Pelodiscus sinensis: one gene and its partners. The protein of the gene in region 3 interacts with the protein of the main gene of each other region in a pairwise test. Links are inferred from orthologs where the notes say so. Each region holds a gene or a part of one and is shown on either strand. Other genes may lie near its edges.

What was found. The genes of interacting proteins can lie anywhere in the genome.
Region 1: the proteins of CCDC102B (region 3) and SPG21 interact in binary tests that used the Homo sapiens proteins (3 or more experiments, as listed by UniProt). The two-hybrid records come from large-scale screens. The link is inferred for Pelodiscus sinensis from reciprocal best matches to the Homo sapiens genes CCDC102B and SPG21.
Region 2: the proteins of CCDC102B (region 3) and ENKD1 interact in binary tests that used the Homo sapiens proteins (3 or more experiments, as listed by UniProt). The two-hybrid records come from large-scale screens. The link is inferred for Pelodiscus sinensis from reciprocal best matches to the Homo sapiens genes CCDC102B and ENKD1.

The regions. Positions count from the first base shown.
Region 1 is NC_134724.1:6,636,651-6,643,587, forward strand, and holds the start of SPG21 (maspardin), read left to right. Parts: upstream 1-3,917; 5' UTR 3,918-4,076; intron 4,077-6,937. UniProt on the Homo sapiens protein: May play a role as a negative regulatory factor in CD4-dependent T-cell activation.
Region 2 is NC_134722.1:46,626,259-46,633,115, reverse strand, and holds the start of ENKD1 (enkurin domain-containing protein 1), read left to right. Parts: upstream 1-3,837; 5' UTR 3,838-4,549; intron 4,550-4,782; 5' UTR 4,783-4,800; coding exon 4,801-4,885; intron 4,886-5,230; coding exon 5,231-5,446; intron 5,447-6,154; coding exon 6,155-6,327; intron 6,328-6,679; coding exon 6,680-6,841; intron 6,842-6,857. UniProt on the Homo sapiens protein: Microtubule-binding protein which regulates microtubule organization and stability. Promotes the stability of astral microtubules and facilitates the proper orientation of the mitotic spindle.
Region 3 is NC_134712.1:92,057,263-92,064,212, forward strand, and holds the start of CCDC102B (coiled-coil domain-containing protein 102B), read left to right. Parts: upstream 1-3,930; 5' UTR 3,931-4,064; intron 4,065-6,950. UniProt on the Homo sapiens protein: During interphase, forms fibers at the proximal ends of centrioles to maintain centrosome cohesion. During mitosis, dissociates from the centrosome following phosphorylation to allow centrosome separation. Contributes to CROCC/rootletin filament formation.

The sequences.
Region 1 (6,937 bases), on a different chromosome or scaffold from region 3:
AAAATGGTGGCGCCTGGCAAGATGCAAATGAAGCCCGGGATATTTAAATCCCGGGCTTCATTTGCAACTTCGATTGACTACATTCGAACTAGGGTGGTAGTGTAGACATACCCCTAGTTATCCACCGGACACCCTCCCGCCTTCCTTGTAGTCCATGGACCACAGTTGAATGACACGTGGTTTAATCATTTGATTGCAGTTTGATAGGTAGGGTAAAGTACAGTCCTGCCACAAATATTGGTAGCTATAAATTAGAAGGCTTTTATCAGGAACCAGGAAAAAAGGGGCTAATATTAGTTGTGCAAGCCCATACGCAGCAGAGAGTTTGTGTATGTGTATGTGCGTGTGCAAAGGGTGCAGTCCACATTTACAAAAAAAGCACACACCCCCAGAAATTCCTGTGTATGGGCCTGTATTCATCTCTCCTCAGATGGAAACTGCTCCGTACCCCTAATAATTTTGTTGCCCTTTTCTGTACCTTTTCTAATTCCAGTATCTTTTTTTGAGATGGGGTGGGTGACCACATCTGCACACAGTCTTCAAAATGTGGGTGTACCATGGATTTATACAAAGGCAACAAGCTATTTCCTGCTTTATTAACTATGCCTTTGCCAATGGTTCCCAACATTTCTTCTAGCTTGTTTTGGCTGCCTCTCCAACATTTTTTGGAAATAACTAGCGATAAATCGAAATAACACAGTCCACGTCTACACAGCCGGCAGTTATTTTGACATAATGTCAAAATACTGTCAAGCTGGAGGATTTCTTACTCCGACTCCTGTAACCCTCATTGTACGAGGACTAAGGGAAGTTGGAGGACGAGTGCTCTATTTCGAAGTAAGTGCTTCGAACTGAAGCCATCTGGGGGAATAGCGAGTCTGCCATATCTCCCGCTGCCCCACACTCACTGGCAACGATGGGGCACATGGGGCAAGGCAGCCTCCCAGCTGCGCCACTCTGGAGACAGGAGAGGATTGCCCTGCGTTCTCCAGCGCGAGTGGAGTCACGTGGCCAGGAGAGCAAAACAGTGGGGCTGCCTTGTTCATCTTCCCCTGCTGCTGTGGGTGAGTGCACCTCTCCTATAGATGCCAGGCCCCCTCCACTGCTAGTTTCCCCTCCATCGGCTAGCTGGGCCCCCCCACCTCACATTTGGGTGCATGTGGCCCCTTGTGCCTCCCCATGTGTTGCGCCATCTGCCATTTTGATGGCCAGTCACTAGGATTACCAGGTGGCTTCAAAAAAAATACCGGACACATTTGATCTCAAATGGGGGTAGGGGACTGGCCGGGAGGGCAGTGGGGCTGGCTGGGAGGAGGTGGGGAGGGGAAACCATCCGGCGGGAAGCAGGGCTGGTGGAGAGGAGGCGGGGAGGGGGACATACCGGCTGGTAGGAAGCAGGGCTGGTGGGGGAGGGGAGGGGGAGAGTGGAGGGAGAGAATAAGCCAGTGGGGAGCAGGACTGACCCAGGCGCATGCAGATCCTGGAGCGCTGCCCGTCCCGCGCACGGTCCCGGAGAAGCACGAGCAAGTCCGGCCCAGGGGATTCCCTCCCACCCCCTGGCATAGTTTAATACTGCCTGGCTGGTAGACACACTCACGCAGCCAGGCAGTTTGCAACTACGTACTGATACTCCTAATAATAATAAAACTTACCTAATTAGAAAATACCGGACATTTTATATGTCCGGTATTTTCTCAATTTGTTTCCCAGACAGAACCCACAAATACCAGACTGTCCGGTTCAAAACTGGACACCTGGCAACTCTAACAGTCACCCACCAAGTTTTGTGAGATCTCTTTGTAACTTTTCACTGTCTGCATGGGACTTAACTATCCTAAGTAGTTGAATCATCTGCCAATGTTGCCACCTCACAATTTGTCCCTGGTTACCTGATAGTGTTGCCAGTTTGCATAACCGTGTTTGTGAATCTTATGCGTGAAAAATAAAACTGTGCTCCGAAGGAATGACCCAAACAGACTTTGATCCTGGCACTAGTGCTTCCTGGGCTGGGCAAGACAGGCCTGCAGCTTACAGTTATTCAGCTCATTCTACTAAATGGGAAAGGCGGCTTGGGATCTAACTTAACAGACACCATTTGAGACAAAATTTCAGACTGGCTCCTTAGGACTCAGAAAGCTCCAGATGTTCCTTAGCAGAAGCTCCTCAGGGAAGCTGGTTCAGAAGCTATTCCAATGAGCAGAGGCTCATGGAAGAGGAAGAGGCCTAGACAAAATGTTCTTGCAGGCAAGGAATGTAGGAGAACAAACCGGGAATGGGAACTCCTGACTGTGGAGCTACTAGGAATTGGCACAGCACTGTCAGCAGAAGATGGGCTTTTGGCTGAATGCCCAGTAGAAGCCCAAGCTCTAGGCAGGGATTTCAGCCTCAGTGTGCTCTGGGGCTAGAGGAGCAAGATATACAGATGTTTAATGGCATGTACTCAAAGTCCCGTTAAAATTAAATGGAATTACTCACCTGTGATGTCAGCATGTTAAATGCATGATCAGGGTATAAATTGTAGCACACTGTATTGAACAATAATTATATACTTCCTTTTCTGTAGATGGCAGCAGCCATCCACAGTTATTTCTTGTTGACAAGCATAAAAGGTGGGGGTCCTGCAGGAACCAGAATAAAAATTGGTTTGGAAAGCTTTTACTGGTAATTTGCTTTTCTAATTCACAAATTAAGGTTCAAATGTTGCCCTTTGATGCATGCCAGAATTCAATGAGAAATTGAAGAAGATTAAGAAGAAAAAAAGGGCACAAACCAAGTTCTCCTCCAACTTACAGGTCACCTTTAATTGGTTCCTTCTAAAATTTGGACTCTCTTAATAAATATTTCTTCTTTTTACAGCATTGGGTTAGGGAAGAATTCTTATTTTTCTAGTTATTAAAATACATTTAATCAGCCTTCAGTTGCCTTTCTCACACATAGCAATACTTCCAAACACAGCCATCTGTTGGTTTTAAACCACAACAGCTGCAAATACACTTGCTTGATGTTCAACAAAGGATTTCTCCCCCGTTGCCCCCCCCAAAGAGAATGCAAATTCACTGTCCTCTTTCAGAGAACGTATGCATCTTATGTTCGAAGGAAACATTTTGCCATGCCAGTGATGCATAATTTGAATTATGCAGCTGTTGTAATCAGCCATCTTATAATATGACAGAGACTTTTCAGAATTTTCCTCTCTCCATTTCCTCATATGAATAAAAAATATCTACAAGCTTATCTGTGTCCATTGGCTTTCGCTAGAGTTAATAAAAAATCACTGTAAAGGGGCACTGGAATGGGCTGAGTTTTGAGGCCTAGTGCCAACTCTCATATTTTATCTGGAGTTTTGCAATGATTGTCATGGTGATTTAAAGTCCCAGCTTTTGGAGTCATGTTTATTATGTAAGCATCTCAACTTCCATTAAACATATGTCCAGCCCTTGCAGAGGCACAGAAAAGTTTTAAAACTTGTCCTAAGTGCACTCTAAATGCACCCCCCAGATGTTTCCTTTTTTACAACATCTGGCAATTCTTTCCCCCCCCCTCCTCTCATAATGTGGGGGAGGGCCTGGTGTGTGATGTCTGAACCCTGGGGGTTAGCAGCACCATTCAGGGTAGCCCTGGAGGACGCTGCCTGGCAGGGGGTGAAAGGGAAATGGGGGTGGGGGGAGGGGAGCGAACAGAGGCGGGCTGGGGACTGAGGCAGAGGTGAGAAAGGCCCACGTGGAAGGAAAGGGGAGTCACGTGTCTGGAACCACAGCTGGAACCGCACGCCCCCAACGCCAAGTGCTACCCGCGGTACAAGTCATATGACCCGCACCCCCTGGCAGCGGCCACGCCCCACCAGGCCACGTGACGCCATTGTTCCGCCTCGGTAGCTATGGACGCCGTCAGCTGCGACCGCTCATTCCTGGTCACGTGGTTGACGTTCCGTCCCTCCCCCCCCCCCCCCCCCCCGACGCAGACAGCACCCGGAAGCGGGAGCTTTCTTGGGTCCGCTCCTCACTCGTGGGGGGAGGGGGATGCGGGAACGAGCCTCGGACACTTTCTCCCCCTGCAGCGCCGCGCGGGAGGAGCCGGTAAGGGGGAGGGGAGCGAATGGGAGGGGTCTGCCCCCCCCCGTGCTGGGGAGGGGAGTTAATGGGGGGGCTGGGGAGGAGGGGTCTGCCCCCCCCGTGCTGGGGAGGGGAGTTAATGGGGGGGCTGGGGAGGAGGGGTCTGCCCCCCCCGTGCTGGGGAGGGGAGTTAATGGGGGGGCTGGGGAGGAGGGGTCTGCCCCCCCCGTGCTGGGGAGGGGAGTTAATGGGGGGGCTGGGGAGGAGGGGTCTGCCCCCCCCCGTGCTGGGGAGGGGAGTTAATGGGGGGGCTGGGGAGGAGGGGTCTGCCCCCCCCGTGCTGGGGAGGGGAGTTAATGGGGGGGCTGAGGAGGAGGGGTCTGCCCCCCCCGTGCTGGGGAGGGAGTTAATGGGGGGGCTGAGGAGGAGGGGTCTGCCCCCCCCCGTGCTGGGGAGGGAGTTAATGGGGGGGCTGAGGAGGAGGGGTCTGCCCCCCCCCCCGTGCTGGGGAGGGGAGTTAATGGGGGGGCTGAGGAGGAGGGGTCTGCCCCCCCCCGTGCTGGGGAGGGGAATTAATGGGGGGGCTGAGGAGGAGGGGTCTGCCCCCCCCCGTGCTGGGGAGGGGAGTTAATGGGGGGTAGAGGAGGAGGTGTCTGCCCCCCTTCGTGCTGGGGGGAGTGAATGGGGGGCAGAGGAAGAGGAGTGCTCTTAGTCCCCCATGCTGGGGTAGAGGCATAAATTAGGGAGCAGAAATGCAGAGAGTGCTGGGGGCGGTGATCTCCTGTCCCAAAAGCTGCTGTTTTAATTCCCTGTAATGGCACTTTCAGTAAGTTGAAGCACCTGTAGCTGTTGTGATTACATTGCATTTACCAACATGCACAGTTCATTTTAGACCCACAATTTTACTGATTCAGATTTTGTGTCCCTGGGCACAGGAATAGAATGGTCGATGCAGCAAGACACATCAGCAGAGCAAACATTTTGATGGGTGGGTTAAATAGCAGTGCTTATGGGGCTGTTGCTTATAGATCAAATGCAGTTTGGGTGTACAGACATTCAAGCAGTTGTTCACAGAATCTATGCAGCTTTCTTGCTCCTGTGATAGACTTAAAAACAGTCCAGGCTGTCAGTGACCAAAAGCTTTTACCAGAGCAGTGTTGTGAATGAAGTTTTTTGTGACTCATACACCTTTAATCTCTCTTTCTGCTCATCAGATGTACATCAACAGGCAACCCACGCATAGGAACTGTAGTTTAAAAAATGTACACTGGCTTAATCATTAGCCAGCCTGAGAGTATTTGACATTTGCTACATTTTTTTTTTGGTTACTTGATTTCCTAGTTATGTTTCATGGTATGGATGTGAAAGATTGACTGGTAAGCATCACCCTTAACTGGTTAACTGATGGGGGTTGGAGCAGCTGCCTTTCCACCCAGCTGGGGAGTGCTGCAGCCCTGTGGGGCCCACCACAGGCAGGGGCAGCTGTGGGTGGCCAGAGCCCCACTGTCTGCAGCAGGCCCGACCCCATCACATGCAGGGGCACTGCTCCAGCCTAGCCCCCTATCTACCTCCCTTTAATCAGTTAAACATCATATTTAATTAGTTAGCCAATTAAGTGAGATTTTACATCCCTATTTCAAGGTATTGTTTCTGTTCCATGCCTCGGAAGAACTATTTATTGGTGTGAACTTAGTATTTTGTTTCTGTGCATACTTGCATATGATGCTTTGAATGTTCACAAAGTGAATTTAGTACCATTGAAATTCATTTGCACAAACACTCTTGAGAGAGGAACACAAAAGGGGTATTGGCATGGTCAGAACAAAATAACATAAGTGGAAATGTTTTGTGGTGGTTGGCTCTACTTACCATTTGATGGACGACTTGCTTACATGACATGATTGTGACGCTCACAGTCCATTTGCTAATAGATTGCTGTCCACTGCATAAAACTTTCCACAAATGGCACTGATTGAGATCTTTATCACCAGTCTTACTGGTGATCTAGAGGTTTGAATGGGCATGGAGATTGAGATGCTTTATTAGCTCTGGGAGGGGGTCCCAACAGTCTGGTCATTGTTGAGGTATATTGACAGAACAGTGAGAGTCACAGAGGGGGAAAGTTTGAACACATCTGTACTCAGGGTGAAAGAATCCTGTGTCTGAAGTTGCAGCTGGCACCCATCACCAGCCCCGGGGTCCCCTCTAATGGTACTAAAACAATAGGCAGAAAAAGAGGAAAGAACTGATTATAGCTGGAATTTATTTCTAGTCTTTTTACAGTGAACAAAATTATTCTTCAGCACATTCCTTTTAGCAAACTTACTAAATGCGTCTGGTGAGCTTTTCCGAACGTGTGTTCATGTAAGTGGTACCCTGATCCTGACTTGGGCTTCTGATTGCTACTCTAACATAAATAGAGTATAAACTTAAAAAACAACGAATTTAACACAACCCACTTCTGCCCACGGAAGCTCATGATACCATCTACATGTTTCTTTAGACTTTGAAGTCCTACCAGACTATTCGTTGTTTATTCTATGCAGACTAACTCGGCTACTCCCTGAAGCTTATAAATATAGTAAAAAGAATAAAGTTATTTTGCTTCTTGTTACTATTTTTGCTGTACTTCATTGAACCATCACGTCCCACATCAGTTTTATATGTGAACAGGGTAAGCCATACTTCTGGCAAGTGCCGGGGATTAGTAGAATGAACTACTCTCTTCTTTTTCTCATGCACAGCTGTCCTCCCATTCCAGTAATGTCTAAGCCTGTTTCATTTTGTAGTCAGCTGAGTGAAAGAGGTGTTTGGCCTCCATTATACCTTTTATACCACAAAAGTGTTCTTCTAGAGTAGAACAAGTGTTAAAATATGTGCCATAA
Region 2 (6,857 bases), on a different chromosome or scaffold from region 3:
CGTTGTGCATGACTGCGGCTACCGTGGAAGCGCCCCAGGCCAGAACTGCCGTGTTCGGTCAGACACCCATGCCTGCCCCTTTCTGGCTGTGAATTGCCCAGCGGCCTGTGCCCGGGCCCAGCCGTCAGGGCTCCAGGGTCGCTCCCCCAAGGAGGGTGGAGAGAGCAGAAGGGGCCTGCCAGCCTCCCCCCGTGGGGCAGAGCAGCTAGTGGGAATGGCTCTAAGAGCCCCAGGAACCAAGCAGGGATTTGGTGGGTGAGGGGAACGAGGGCGCAGCCTCTGCTGTGCTGGGGGTAGGAAGGAGCCAGGCAGCTAGTGTGTGTCTGCCCCGCTCCCTTCAAATCAGCAATGGGGCCGTCTGCTTCCCCTCCCCCTGCCTCCCTGCAACACCAAGCGGGGGGGGGGGGGGGGGGCGGAGGGGGGGAGAGCTGCACTTTGCATCTTCTGGGCACCAGCTCCTTCAGCCTCCCAATGCCCAAGTGAGGGGCTTGAAGTAATTAATATAAAACAATTAAGAGGCTGCTTGTTGCCTTTAGCAGCGCGGAGACCCAGGGAGGAGCCAGCGGCTGGTTCGTGTTCCCGACGCCGTTTCTCTGCTGGTCTCCCAGAACTTCAGCAAGGTACGTTGGGTTTGGTCCCGAGGCATGCTGGGAACTCACCTGGCCTCCAGCTAGTGAAGCACTTACCCCCTAACGAGTGGCCCAGGGGTCAGCGGTGCTGCCTGCAGGCAGATAGCGAACCCTCCACCCCAGTGCTTTGCCAGAGCGCTTGATCCCTCGCCCACGTGAGCCCTGTTCCACCGCTGGGGAAACCGAGGCACGGCGTGGCGCTGGACCACGACAAAGGCCACGTGGCGAGTCTGGGGCATGGTCTGGAATGGGGTCCTCGGGGCCAGTGCTCTGTGGCCCACACCTGGGGTCATTTTCCGCGGTGCCTCGGCCTCCTCCCTCCCCGTGCATTGACACCACGGCCCTGAGGCTGTGTTGGAGCTGGACCGCGCTGTTCCCTGTTTTACCTCCTACCTCTGATTCCCGGGCACCCCGCACAATGGGCCGCGGACAGAGAGAGCCCACAGCTGCAGGGTGTTGGGTATTGTGCCAGGGGATGCCTGTCCCAGAGCACCAGCCTGGCCTCCGCGGGCTAGCGGGGAGTTGGCCTGCCCCAGGTGGATTCCACACGCTGGCTGGAGCAGCAACGGGACTCAGGGTGACCTCCCGGGCTGGGGAGGAACCTCAGTTGGAGGGAGGGTCACTTCCCTGCAGGGGCAATGGAGCCCGGCTCCCAGGACAGCTTTCCTCCCGCCCCGAGCACACATTTGGGGGGAAATTTTCAGCCCAAGCTTTGGTTCAATTTCGACCCCTACAATTGTACAAATAATTGTGCAAATAATCCCCTGGACAAAACACTGAGCCAGCAGTGCAGGGGCAGCGTTGAGACCAAGGAAGGGGTGATGTGTGGGCCCGGCCGGGTACTCAGCGGCCCTGGGGACATTAGGGGGCAAGGCGAGGCCAGCTTTGGAGCAGCCGGCCCTTACAAGAATCAGGGCCTGGCATGGGGCTGGGGGGGGCAGCGTGACACGGAGCTGGTGGCGGGTGGCTCAGAATTGGGGGGGCACAGAACTCCCTGGGGGGGAGCGTGACACAGAATTGGGGGGGCGGAGCATGGAACGATCTGGGCGACTGTGACGTGCAACGGGGGGGATATGGCAATGGGAGGGGTCACGCCCGGCCCACTCTCGCCGGATCGGCCCATGCCGGGTGTCGGCGCGGCCGGCAGGGGGCGCTGCGGGAGCGGGCGAACTACAGCTCCCAGCAGCCCCCGCGGCCGGAAGCGTAGGTGACGCTGTTGCTAGGAGAAGCGGGGGCCGGGCCTTTAACCGCCGGAGAGCGCGAGCGGGTCAGTGCCGGGGGCGCTGTGTGGACCCCGCGCTGGGAGGGGCGGGGGGGGCCGCGCTGCGGGGGGCGGGGGAGCCGGGCTGTGGGGGGGGCGCGCTGTGAGGGGCGGGGGAGCCGGGCTGTGGGGGGGGCGCGCTGTGAGGGGCGGGGGGGCCGCGCTGTGGGGGGGGGCTGTGCTGTGAGGGGCGGGGGGGCCGCGCTGTGGGGGGGGGCTGTGCTGTGAGGGGCGGGGGGGGCCGCGCTGTGGGGGGGGGGGCGCTGTGAGGGGCGGGGGGGGCCGCGCTGTGGGGGGGGCTGTGCTGTGAGGGGCGGGGGGGCCGCGCTGTGGGGGGGGCTGTGCTGTGAGGGGCGGGGGGGGCCGCGCTGTGGGGGGTGGGCGCTGTGCTGGGAGGGGCGGGGGGGCCGCGCTGTGGGGGCGCTGTGCTGGGAGGGGCGGGGGGGCCGCGCTGTGGGGGGGGGGCTGTGCTGGGAGGGGCGGGGGGGCCGCGCTGTGGGGGGGGGGCTGTGCTGTGAGGGGCGGGGGGGGCCGCGCTGTGGGGGGGGGGCTGTGCTGTGAGGGGCGGGGGGGGCCGCGCTGTGGGGGGGCGCTGTGCTGGGAGGGGCGGGGGGGCCGCGCTGTGGGGGGGGGGGCTGTGCTGGGAGGGGCGGGGGGGCCGCGCTGTGGGGGGGGGGGGCTGTGCTGTGAGGGGCGGGGGGGCCGCGCTGTGGGGGGGGGGCTGTGCTGGGAGGGGCGGGGGGGGCCGCGCTGTGGGGGGGGCGCTGTGCTGTGAGGGGCGGGGGGGCCGCGCTGTGGGGGGGGCGCTGTGCTGTGAGGGGCGGGGGGGCCGCGCTGTGGGGGGGGCGCTGTGCTGGGAGGGGGCGGGGGGGCTGCGCTGTGGGGGGGCGCTGTGCTGGGAGGGGCGGGGGGGCCGCGCTGTGGGGGGGGGGCGCTGTGCTGTGAGGGGCGGGGGGGGCCGCGCTGTGGGGGGGGGCTGCGCTGTGGGGGGGGCTGTGCTGGGAGGGGCGGGGGGGCCGCGCTGTGGGGGGGGGGCTGTGCTGGGAGGGGCGGGGGGGCCGCGCTGTGGGGGGGCGCTGTGCTGGGAGGGGCGGGGGGGCCGCTTGGACACCGAAAGGGGTGGGAGAGGGCCCCCTGGCAGGGGCCCCACCTCTCCTAATTGCTTATCCTCCCTAGGCTCCACGCTCATCCCCCTTCCCTGAGCTGCTTTCTGACGGCCTGGGGCCTGCTCCTGCTTTCCATGAAGCTGGGGAAATTTCTGCCCCTGAGGTGGATGGGTGCAGGCTTGGCTTCCTGTGCGATACAGTGCCCTCCCCGCTGGCTCTGAAGCTGCCCTGCCTCTCCCAGGGGGAGGGCTAATGCCAGCAGCCCCACATGGGCCCTTCTCTCTGATCTGCTGCCAGCCCATCCCGCGCTCCAGGTGGGGAAGTCACCCGGCCTCCTTTGGAAGCCTGGTTGCGCGGCTAGGCCAGGCAGCAAATACTCCATGTGCTCTAACCCTGCGGCAAGAGAATAGAAAGGGGAAGCTTGGCTAGTCTGCGGTGGGTCTTTGAGTTCCCTCGGGAGCCGGCTGCTGCTATCACAGCCCTCCGATTGCTTTGACACTCCCTCCAAAGTCCACGGCTGTGTCTAGACTGCACCCCTTTTGCGGAAAAGGGATGCAGATTAGACACAGTGCAATTGCAAATGAAGCAGTGATTTAAATCTCCCCCGCTTCATTTGCATGAACATGGCTGCCGCTTTTTTCCAGCTCGGGGCTTTGCTGGCAAAAAGCGCCAGTCTAGACGGGGATCTTTCGGAAAATAAAGCCTTTTCCAAAAGATCCCTTATCCCTGATTTATCCCTGGGTGTGTTTTTCTAGGGATTAGCTTGGTCGAGAGACCTTGCTGGGAGGGGCAGGACTGCCAGTCCGACCCCACAGGCCAAGGGTTAGAAAGTTCATCTTGCAGAACTGGACCAGGATGCCAGAGTAGGAGCATCCACAGCTGGGGCTGCTCTAGAACAGCTCTGTAACTGTCCCTGCATTTATCCCCTCTGCAGTAGCCCCTAGTGGGGGGGCGATAATTAGCTGTCTGCTAATGGTTCTCATTCTCTCAAGAGCCATACTGCTGACAGGCAGGCTTAGGCGGATTAGCCGTTCGCGTCATAGACCCTCCCATCCCTGCTCCATATCAATAATTCATCAGCTTGTAAGTGGAATCAAGGGCTCTGTTTCTCCCTGGTGCGCTGCTGTGATCTCCCTGTACATCACACCCCAGTGGGGCTGAGATGCGGGAGAAAAAGATCTTCCCGCTGGATGGACGGACGGACGGACGGCCTGTCTGTCCCAATGGCTGAGCTGTCCAAACGCTGCAGGTCAGGGACCCTGTGGACCTGCAGCTCTCCTGATGTCTCAGGGGGTTGATGCTGCTCCACTTGCCCAATTTATTGTGATTTTTGGAGTAGGGAGTGAGTCTCTGGGGCAAGAGCGTGTGAGCCCAGCAGGGAGACGGGTGAGGGGAGATGCTATAAGCACAGCCATGTTGGCTCAGACCAATGGTCTCTCTACCCAGTGTCCCATTGTCCAACAGTGGCCAATACCAGGTGCGTCAGAGGGAAAGAACAGAACTAGATCAGTTGACTGAGTGACCCGTCCTGTTGCCTGCTCCTAGCTCGGCAGGTACTGCAGCAAACGGGGGCGCTCGGGGGCAGAGGGGCAGCCCTGGTCATGGAGGCCTGCAGCTTGATCCATGTCTAGACGGATGGGATCCCTTGGCCTGCAGGGTGACAATGTTCTCTCTAGCGGGATGTCGCCCCAGCGAAGAGCACTGGCCCCGACGTATTTAAAATCTTCACCGTGGCTGGGGAACGGTTCCCCAGAAAACACTATCTGGTTTCTGTCCCCCATGGCAGCTGCAGAGCCTGGCCGAGATGTCTGAGGGGCCTTCCAGGATCTCGGGGCCCATCCCTCCCGACCCCACACTCTTCCCGGACTATTACAAACGCCCCCTGTCAGGTGAGAGCCAGCGATGCATGGATGGGGTCCTGCATAATCGTGGGTGGCTAGTGCAGGTGAAGGCCTTCCCTTCCCTAGCCTCTGTTGGCTGCACAGTTCCTGGATCTGTGGAGGGGCAGCTCTCCCCCAAAGGGTGTGGAATGGCCCTGCAGAGACACTCGGCTCCTTTGAGGCCCTGAGCGCTCTCAGCTCCCATCGCCTCCAGTGCCAGGAGAGGCTGATGTGAGGAGTAGGAAGTGGGGGGATGTCAATATCTGTTAAACATCCCTCTATCCAGGGTGGGGGCACCGGGGGGGGAGCAAAGGGGAGGTGCCGCATGCCTTGACTCGTGCTGTCTCTCTCTAGCTCGAGGGAGGCTGGAAGGAAATGCCTTGAAGCTCGACTTCCTCTCTGGCCCGCTGGCCCCCGATCCCAGCCTGTATCCCACGTGTTACAGTGCCCGCCCTCCCCCACGTATCCGCCCCAATGGCCAGGACATCCTGGAGAAGGGGCAGATGGGGACAGTCGGGATCTTGCTGAAGCTGGAGGGGGTCTCTCTCCACAGGGAGCCGCCCCTGAAAAGTAGGTGCAATTGAGCAGGTGGGGCTGACGGGCAGGATAGAATGAAGGCTTGAACTGGTGCAGAGGCAAGGGTTTAGGATGGGGATTTGTGTGGGGCCTCACCCTGACTCCGGCCTGGCGTATGGAAAACGTGGGAGTGAGCCTGTGGAACTCCCTGCCATATGATGGAGGCCAAGAGCCAGGTAGATCCCAGGTGGTTTTCCTGGTACGTGGCTAATGGGAACAGCTCTGGGGAGTGCCTGGGATAGGCAGAGAACTTGAGAACTGCCCAGGGGAAGGTTAAAGGGTGACTTGGTTGCAGTCTCTAGTTACCTACATGGGAACAAATGGGCTTGTCAGTGTAGCAGGAAATCCAGTGGCTGGAAGATGAAGCCAGAGGGAGTTGGGGAGGAAGGTATAAATTTGTCCCCAGGGAGAGTAATTAGCCTTTGGAACAACCACCCGAGGGTAGAATCCACCACGGGTGAGTCTTAACTCAAAGGTGGCTGTTTTCGAGCAGCTGCTCTTGGAGTTACTCCAGCAAAGCCAGTGTCTTGGTGTGCTAACAAGGGGCTCTGGGGGTAGGGATCCGGCTGGCACACAGGGAGGGGATCCGCTTGCTGCTGTTTGCAGTGAAGGGAGCCGCTTCGCTGAGAGAGGCCCTGGTCATGGTGCCAAGGGGCTCAGCAGGGCCTGCTGGTGAAAGCCGTGTCTCGCCGGGGCGTGCAGGGCGCGAGTGCAAGGACCACGAGAAGGAGAATGTGAGGCGGATGCGGGAGATCCAGAGGAGGTGCAAGGAGAAGGAGCTGGCGCGGGAGCACAGCCAGCCCAAACCCATGAAGGCCCTGTGGAAATCCCAGAAGTATGAGAATGTGGAGTCCAAGGTGAAGGCCAAACTGCAGTACCTGCACACAGCGGCATCACAAAAAGACTAGAGAGAATTCCTTTGTCTCGGGGGCATTCTAGTCCCTGCCGCGGCCGGCTGCAGCGTGAAGCCGGGCCTGGCTGGGGCCACTCGACACACTGTGTGTGATGTGCTAAATGCACCGGCACGCCCATGGATTCCTCTCTCGTGCTACAGTGTCGCTCCATTGAACGCAGTGGAGATTTCCCCAGGCAGGGTCGTGTCTCCCCTGCCAGCTGAGTTCCCTGCCTGACTCCTGCCTGGAGGAGACGTTCCCCGCACGTGCAGCGGTAGAGTCTGGGGTCGCCCCTCGGCCCTGGAGCTCCTGCTATGTGGTTTGCCTTTCGCAGGAGAGCTCTCCCCCGCCCAACCCAGAGTCTCAGAACTTCCTGAGGGCATATTCCCGCTGCGGCTCCGGGGTCCAGCCGCGCCGGTCGCTGTCGCCCAGCCCTGCCATGTCCAGAGCAGTGCCAGACGCAGCAGCTGCAGGAGTGCAGGGCGCAGACGCCAAGGTGAGGCTCCATGTCC
Region 3 (6,950 bases):
TCTGAAAGGTATTATCACTATAAAACCACTGTGAGATTACAAACTGGCTCTAGTACTCTGGAATCATCATGAAAACGAATTAGAGTATTAATTTTTCCCCAGAAAGATTTTATTCTGACCTTTGGAAACAATGTTATGAGGATTGTCCAGAAGTTAAAATGTTGGGGCTTAGAGCCATGCTGAATGTGTTTTTGTTTTGTTTGTTAATTTAGCTAGTAAAAGGTACACTTTAGTTTATTATGCCCTGTGCTTGAACTGTATAGTTCTGGTTTCTTTTGACTGGAATGAACTATAATTCTGTTCAATACTTGAGACTGCCACAGAAATTACATCAATTCAATGGATGTTGACTTCTGTTGTTTTGAGAAAAATGTGACCCAGCTTGCTCCTCTGAGACACATTAAATAATTCTTTTCACTGGCTTTAGTAATCCTTGGATGGACTGACTCTTTTCCATTGTAACACCCTGGGAATGGATCTCAGCATTGAGGGCTTCAGAAATATTGTTTTTCACATCCTATTAATCCTCTTTCATGGACTAACTAGCATGATTTGCCTGGAGGGAGGTGGGGAGGAATCATTTGACATATCTCCAGGAATTAAATGTACTAGAATTGAAGGGAGGCCTGATTACCAGCATGATTCAAGTCGTAGAATTTCACCCAGTGAATTTTGCACCATCTATAAATTCTGGTTTGGGTAGAAGTGTATTCAGTTTTGATTTGTACAAAGAATTACAAGGCAGTGTGGCCTAGTGACTGAGCATTGGACCAAGCAGCATGGGTTTTATTCCTAGCTCTGCCACTAGTCTGCCCAAGGAAACTCACTTCACTTTGGTGCCTCAGTTTTACCAACTATACACAGCGGTTTTGTCTACACTGGCATGATTTTGCGCAAGAACTCTTTTGCAGAAGAGTTCTTGTGCAAAAACTCTTCCAGAAGAGAGTGTCTACACTGGCATGTGCCTTTGTGCAAGAGATGTGTTTTTGCACAAGACCATCCTTGACAGTGTAGATGCTCCCTTGCGCAAGAAAGCTCTGATGGCCATTTTAACCATAGGGCTTTCTTGCGCAAGAGGGCTTATTCCTGAGCGGGATCATCATAGTTCTTGTGCAAGAAGCACTGATTTCATAACATTAGAATGTCAGTGTTCTTGTTCAAGAACTCGCGGCCAGTGTAGAGAGGAAGCAAGTTTGGTGCAAAAGCGGGCCAATGTAGACACAGCCAGAGATACGGAGCCACTTTGAAAGGTACTTGTGAAAAGCACTATAACAAAATCTAGGTATGTTTGTTATTGCTATTCATTTGAAGACTTCGGGTGACAGAATTCACCATATGCCCAAGTAAATTATTCTAATGGTTAATTGTTCTTATTTAAAAAATTACACCTTCATTCTAGTCTGAATTTGTCCATCTTCTATTTCCAGCCATTAGATCTTGAGATCTTTTATTTTTTTTGTGAGTATAGAGCCCCCAAATATCAATAATCTTCTCCTCATGAAGGTATTTATAACTGGTGATCAAGTCATATGTTATCTTTTTCTTGAATAATAGTAATATATTGGATTTCTTTAGAAATCAATGGGAATTTTGCCCCCAAGTAAGGGTTGTAAGATTGGGCTGTTGGGGTACATCTACACAGCCATGTTATTGTTCTGAAATAACAAAGAGTGCATCTATGTTACAAGCGTTTTTCAAAATAATATTGAGCTGGAAGACTTGTTATGCTGAGGCTATGTCTAGACTCTAAGGGTTTTCCGGGCTGAGGTATCCCAGAAAAACTCCACTGCATCCAGGGATCGCGTCTGCTTGTCCAACATTTTTTGTGGAAGAGCAGATGCGCTCTTTCAGTGCCACAAGGAAGGGTTCTTCCGAAAGAGGAGAGTTTTCTGAAATTTGGCCCAGTGTATATTGGAAACTATTGGAAAAAGGTACGCAAATTGTGGAGCGCTATTTGTGTACCTTTTTCCGATAAAAAGCATCAGTGTAGACTGAGGCTGAGTCCTATAACCCTCATTTTACGAGAAGTAAGGGAAGTAGAAGGAAGAATGTTCTTCCTTTGACTTCCTGCTGTGTAGACAGCGCCTAGCGCCTAAAGCCAAGTTAAGCTATTTCAACTTAAGCTACACAATTGATATAGCTGAAATTGTGTAGCTTCATTCAACTTTAGCCCTGCTGTGTAGACATACCCTTGGTGAATAAGGAGTAGTTAATGGATTTGTCAGAATAGTGCTTTATTTAGAAATTTGTCGTTTTGTAGACAGTGTCAAATTTCGAAATAAGCTATTTTGAAATTACCTCAAAATAAGCTACTCAGTTTGCATAGTGCAAATTGCATAGCTTATTTTAAGGTAAGGATGCAGTGTAGATGCACCCTGAGTATATTCTGGGAGTGGGGAATGGCTGGACTGATGGCATGGAAGATATTACAGCAATAGTAAGGAAATGCTATGCATTTTGCTTAATGTGATGAATATAGCTTCAGATTTTTTTAAAAATAAATAAACGTTAAATAGTGGAAATTGGCACTGTACAGAATGAAGGCGGTGGCAAGATGGAGATGAGTGCTTGTGATGACTGACCGGAGAGAGTTGGAAAGGTAAGAAATAGCAGCACAACTAAAAAAAAAATATGTCTCTGGGTGTGTTTTCCTATAAAAGAGGTATGTGGTTACCTTAACTTTCTTTTGCTATAAACCAGAAGTCTGAATATTCTCCGGGGAGTGCAATACAGTGTATAATGTGGGATGATTTATGTGTTTAAAAATAGATTGATTTCCTTAACTATTAAGATTTAAGTTCTACAGCAAGTTGTGGGTGCTGGAGGTGGGAGGGGAGAATTCCACTCCGAAGACATGTAATTTGCCTGAGTTTTCTATATGGAAAAATGTATATTATTTTTCCTGGAACAGGTTTTCAAAAGTAACTAATGATTTTTGGGGTTCCTTAATTCTTTGGGATAACAATTTTGAAACATTTTGAGGGGAACTAATATTCAGAAAGTGCCAAGCAACTTCCTTCTGAAGATCGGATTCCTTTGAGGTATTTCTAGTGGGTGTTTCTGAAAATTATAAATCTGAAATCTTGGTGGTGGTCTTTTTCTGGGTGTAGCTCTCCTGTTGATATCAATGTATCCAAAAGAAGCAGGGAGAGCAAAGGGGGGGGAGCGTTTGTGGGAGAGTTACCATTGTTAGATCCAAAGAAGAAGCCTCTTTCCAAATGACACAGGGGATTGCAGCTACTCTATATAAGCATTATGACTGAAGTAGACTCAATGGGCCAGATCAATGGGCTTGCCAGAGCTTCGCTGATTTCAATGGAGCCATGGTATTGTTTGACTGAATGACTCTTAAGAGGTCCCACAGTGGTAGCATGCAGCTCCTTTGCAGATTCCTATTATAGGCAAGCTGGTGCGTTTCAATCTTTCCCTATATTTGTAGCCCCAATGTTACAAAAGTGTACTATTTTATATTCCACAAAATATTTTTTTTTTCTTTAGTGTACCAGTCATTTATGTTTGTGTGGTGTAAATGATATTCAGAGCTCAAGAAATTACCCTTTTCTTTCAGGGTCTGTATTTTTTATTTGGATTTGGTTAGCTTGCTCACACCTTTTGTGCTTCACAATTTAAATATCACAGGACTTTTGTTAATGGTGTAATGTACTTTACAATAGCATGCAAAATGTACCAGAGATACATGTGGAGTGGGAGAAGCTGTTGCTGGCCCAGAAATCAATCAATCAATCTCTCTCTCTCACACACACACAATATGCAGTTCAGAAAAGGAGGAGAAATTACTGATGAAAAGCACAATAAGCTGTGTGTGGCGTGTATCTGTAGGTGGTGACTGACTTGCATTTAAAAAAAAAGTTGTGGTATTGGTTTTGATACAGCCTGACCAATGGGAATCTTCTTTCTAGTTAGTGTGGAGTGGCTTTAATGCTGGAAATAATCCTGTTGGCCAAAACCCCAGAACTGTGCAGATCAGAAAAGGATGCAGGAAATTCTGTTTACACATGTGTCTGCAGCACTGAGCAGCAAGAACAGCCCAGCAAGCCCAAAGGGTAAGGGGCTTTAGTAGTCTTGTGGTTTTATACTGTGTTAATTTTTATATCTTTCTGCAGGGTGGTGTGTATAATACTCACCCAGGGAACTGAGGGTGGAAAGCTCTATAAGCTATATTACAGAAGTACTTAGATTTAAAAAAGAAAACTATTTTGATTGTGTGATTAAATTGTGTTTTACTATTTTCCTTTTGCTTTCCATTAAACTACCATTGGACAATTTTTTTTATCTTTGCATCATATTAAACATACCTTGTCCTGTATGTATGCAATATGCTTATTTTAATATAAGATTTTAAAATATACATTTGCACAGTAAAAGTATGTTAAACTATCTTTATTATTAATTTAAAAACCTGAATGATTTACTATAAATATGGAATGTTGAAGGCTTACACTGTTTATATAAAAATTCAAAAGTACAGTAGGAGAAGGAGGTACTGTTTGGGTCATTTTCTAAACCTCACTCAACACTAGAAATTTTAGTCTCAGGGGAATAGTATAGTTTGAGTTTGCAACTTGCACTCAATTTCTGTTGCGGTTAACAGGAAGTTGTGTAATCAGAAGGAATGTTTCCGATATAAAATGTGCAACTAACTGATAAATTTGTGATCTTAATTTCCCCCTGAAAACTCTCTGGATACAGGCAAAATTAGGAGCTATAAATCAGTAAGGTTTTGTTTGTTTGTTTTTTGTTATACTGCACTTTAAAAATAATAAAAAAGGAAATTCAGCTAGTACCGTTTCAAATAATGGACAATCTCAGAATGTGTGTGGATGAGCTGTCACTAGGAAGGACCTGAGGAATAAATTCCTAAAGTAATACAGAGCAATTTCATAAATGCATATAGCAGACTGTTCTAACTTCTCAGCAGTTAAAACCCAGGTTCTCTGGCTGTATCTAGCTTTTCATTTTCACTGTTTTCATCACTACCACATTAGTTTATTCCCCACAACCATTAATGTTGATATTGGGTAGGAAACATTTTTCTTGCTCTAATATAACTTACAGAAGGAATACTTAGTGTTCTTGCAACTATTTGCCCTAAAATGCAAATGTGCCCTGAAATGTATATAAATATACTGTATAAATGTTGTTTCATGAATGGGACTTGTGTGTTCTTCACCTATTCCAACCATCCAACAAATTTAATGGACATTCAGTAAGTGCAAAGAATGATGTATCAAGCTTATTTTCTATTTTTTCCTGTCCTTTATTTAATCCAGTGCTCTTCAATTATTTCTTTTACTAATCACCTGTAATTGGTTAATTTATTGCCATTTACCTCAATAGATAGGCCTTAGCATCTTTTAATAGATTAATTTATTAATCTTACCAATAATTATTTAGCCCCACAAAAATATATAGAACTTTCTGAATCAAAGAGATGTTCCCTGCCCTAAAGAGTTTGGTGCTAAATATTGTTTTTCATCCCTTTCCATTTCTTCTAAATCTCTATCAAATCATTTACTGATTGCTAATGTGACTGCTTAGCACAATTTATAAATGCTCACACAAGGTCTTGGCAAAAACAAGTTGTGACGTAGTGGGGGTACTTGCTGGGATGTGGTGACCTCTGCTGTCTGGAGCAAGACCCAGCAGGGAAAACCTCACTAGGCAGAGGTAAGGACAAACTTGTTGAACCAGTGGCCAGACACCCCCCATGGAGAGGAACAAAGGAAGGTGAATGCGGCCCTGGCTGGGGGGCAGGGCTGGAAGTGGGTTAGTTGGTTGGTGGCTGTCTGTGAGGATGGATGAGACAGCCTAGGGAGAGGAGCTGGAGTTTTAGGGGCCCAGTCTCCCCCATCTCAAGGGGGCCTGAGGCATCCTAGCCCAGTTCCTGTAACCAGACTACATCTGTGCTGCGCTGTGCTGGAGGAGCAATAAACCACCCTCAATTCCACTGGCTGGTACAGTCTGTTTGTGCCATTTCGGGGTGCAGGAGACGGGGAACCCCCAACGTGCCGTCACACAAGTCTAAAAAAATCTTCAGTTTGCTGCACTGCTTATGACGTTTCTTTGCAAATCGTGTACATAGGATGGATCCCTCTAACATATATGATAGAATTTAGGAATACATTGGACTTAATTCATATACACTTTCACACCAGTAGGGCCTTGCTACCCTCTGTTGGTTGTCTCATTGTGGAAGGTCAGATTTTCAAAGATCATCAAAATTCTGGATAAGACATCTGGCTATGGCCCTTCCCTAGTTAACCTCTAGATATAGCCAAGGGTGCTAGATACTTTATAGGATAGGTTAACTGAGTACAAGCCTACATATTCAAGGGCTAAATTAAGACTACTTGATAGGTGTACCCATATTTTAGAGCAGTGGCTTGCAAACTCTGTTGGTTCGTGTGCCACTTCAACATTTTTAAGGCAGTTGGTGGAACATCAAGTTTGTCTGTCATTAGCGGTACATGCACTGCAGTTTTCAGATAATTCCATGGGAATAAGTCTGAGGAATTTTAATTGGACTTGATATATTTGTCTGTCTGAAATGCTCTACTTTTTGTAAAAAAAGAAAAAGGAGAGAGGAATCCAAGTATTGTATAACAGAGCTCAACCAGGGTTGACCAAAACTCAAGCAGTCACAGAAGCAGTTAGATATTCTTCTCCCAGCAAGAATTCATATATATGGATGATTCTATAATATATTTTATAAGGTTTCAGTTTTCACTTTATTAACTGTAAATTCATTTTCTCTAACTGCCATACCCTCATTCTTATTTTGCTGTCTATGTTCCTTGTACTCCTTTTTCCTTCACCTGACTTCCAGATTACGCTTTATTGAATACACATTGCACCAAGTCTTTTTCAAATATGAATATGATTTGGTACTAAAAATAGACATCCCATATTTTCTCCATTAGTATTATTAA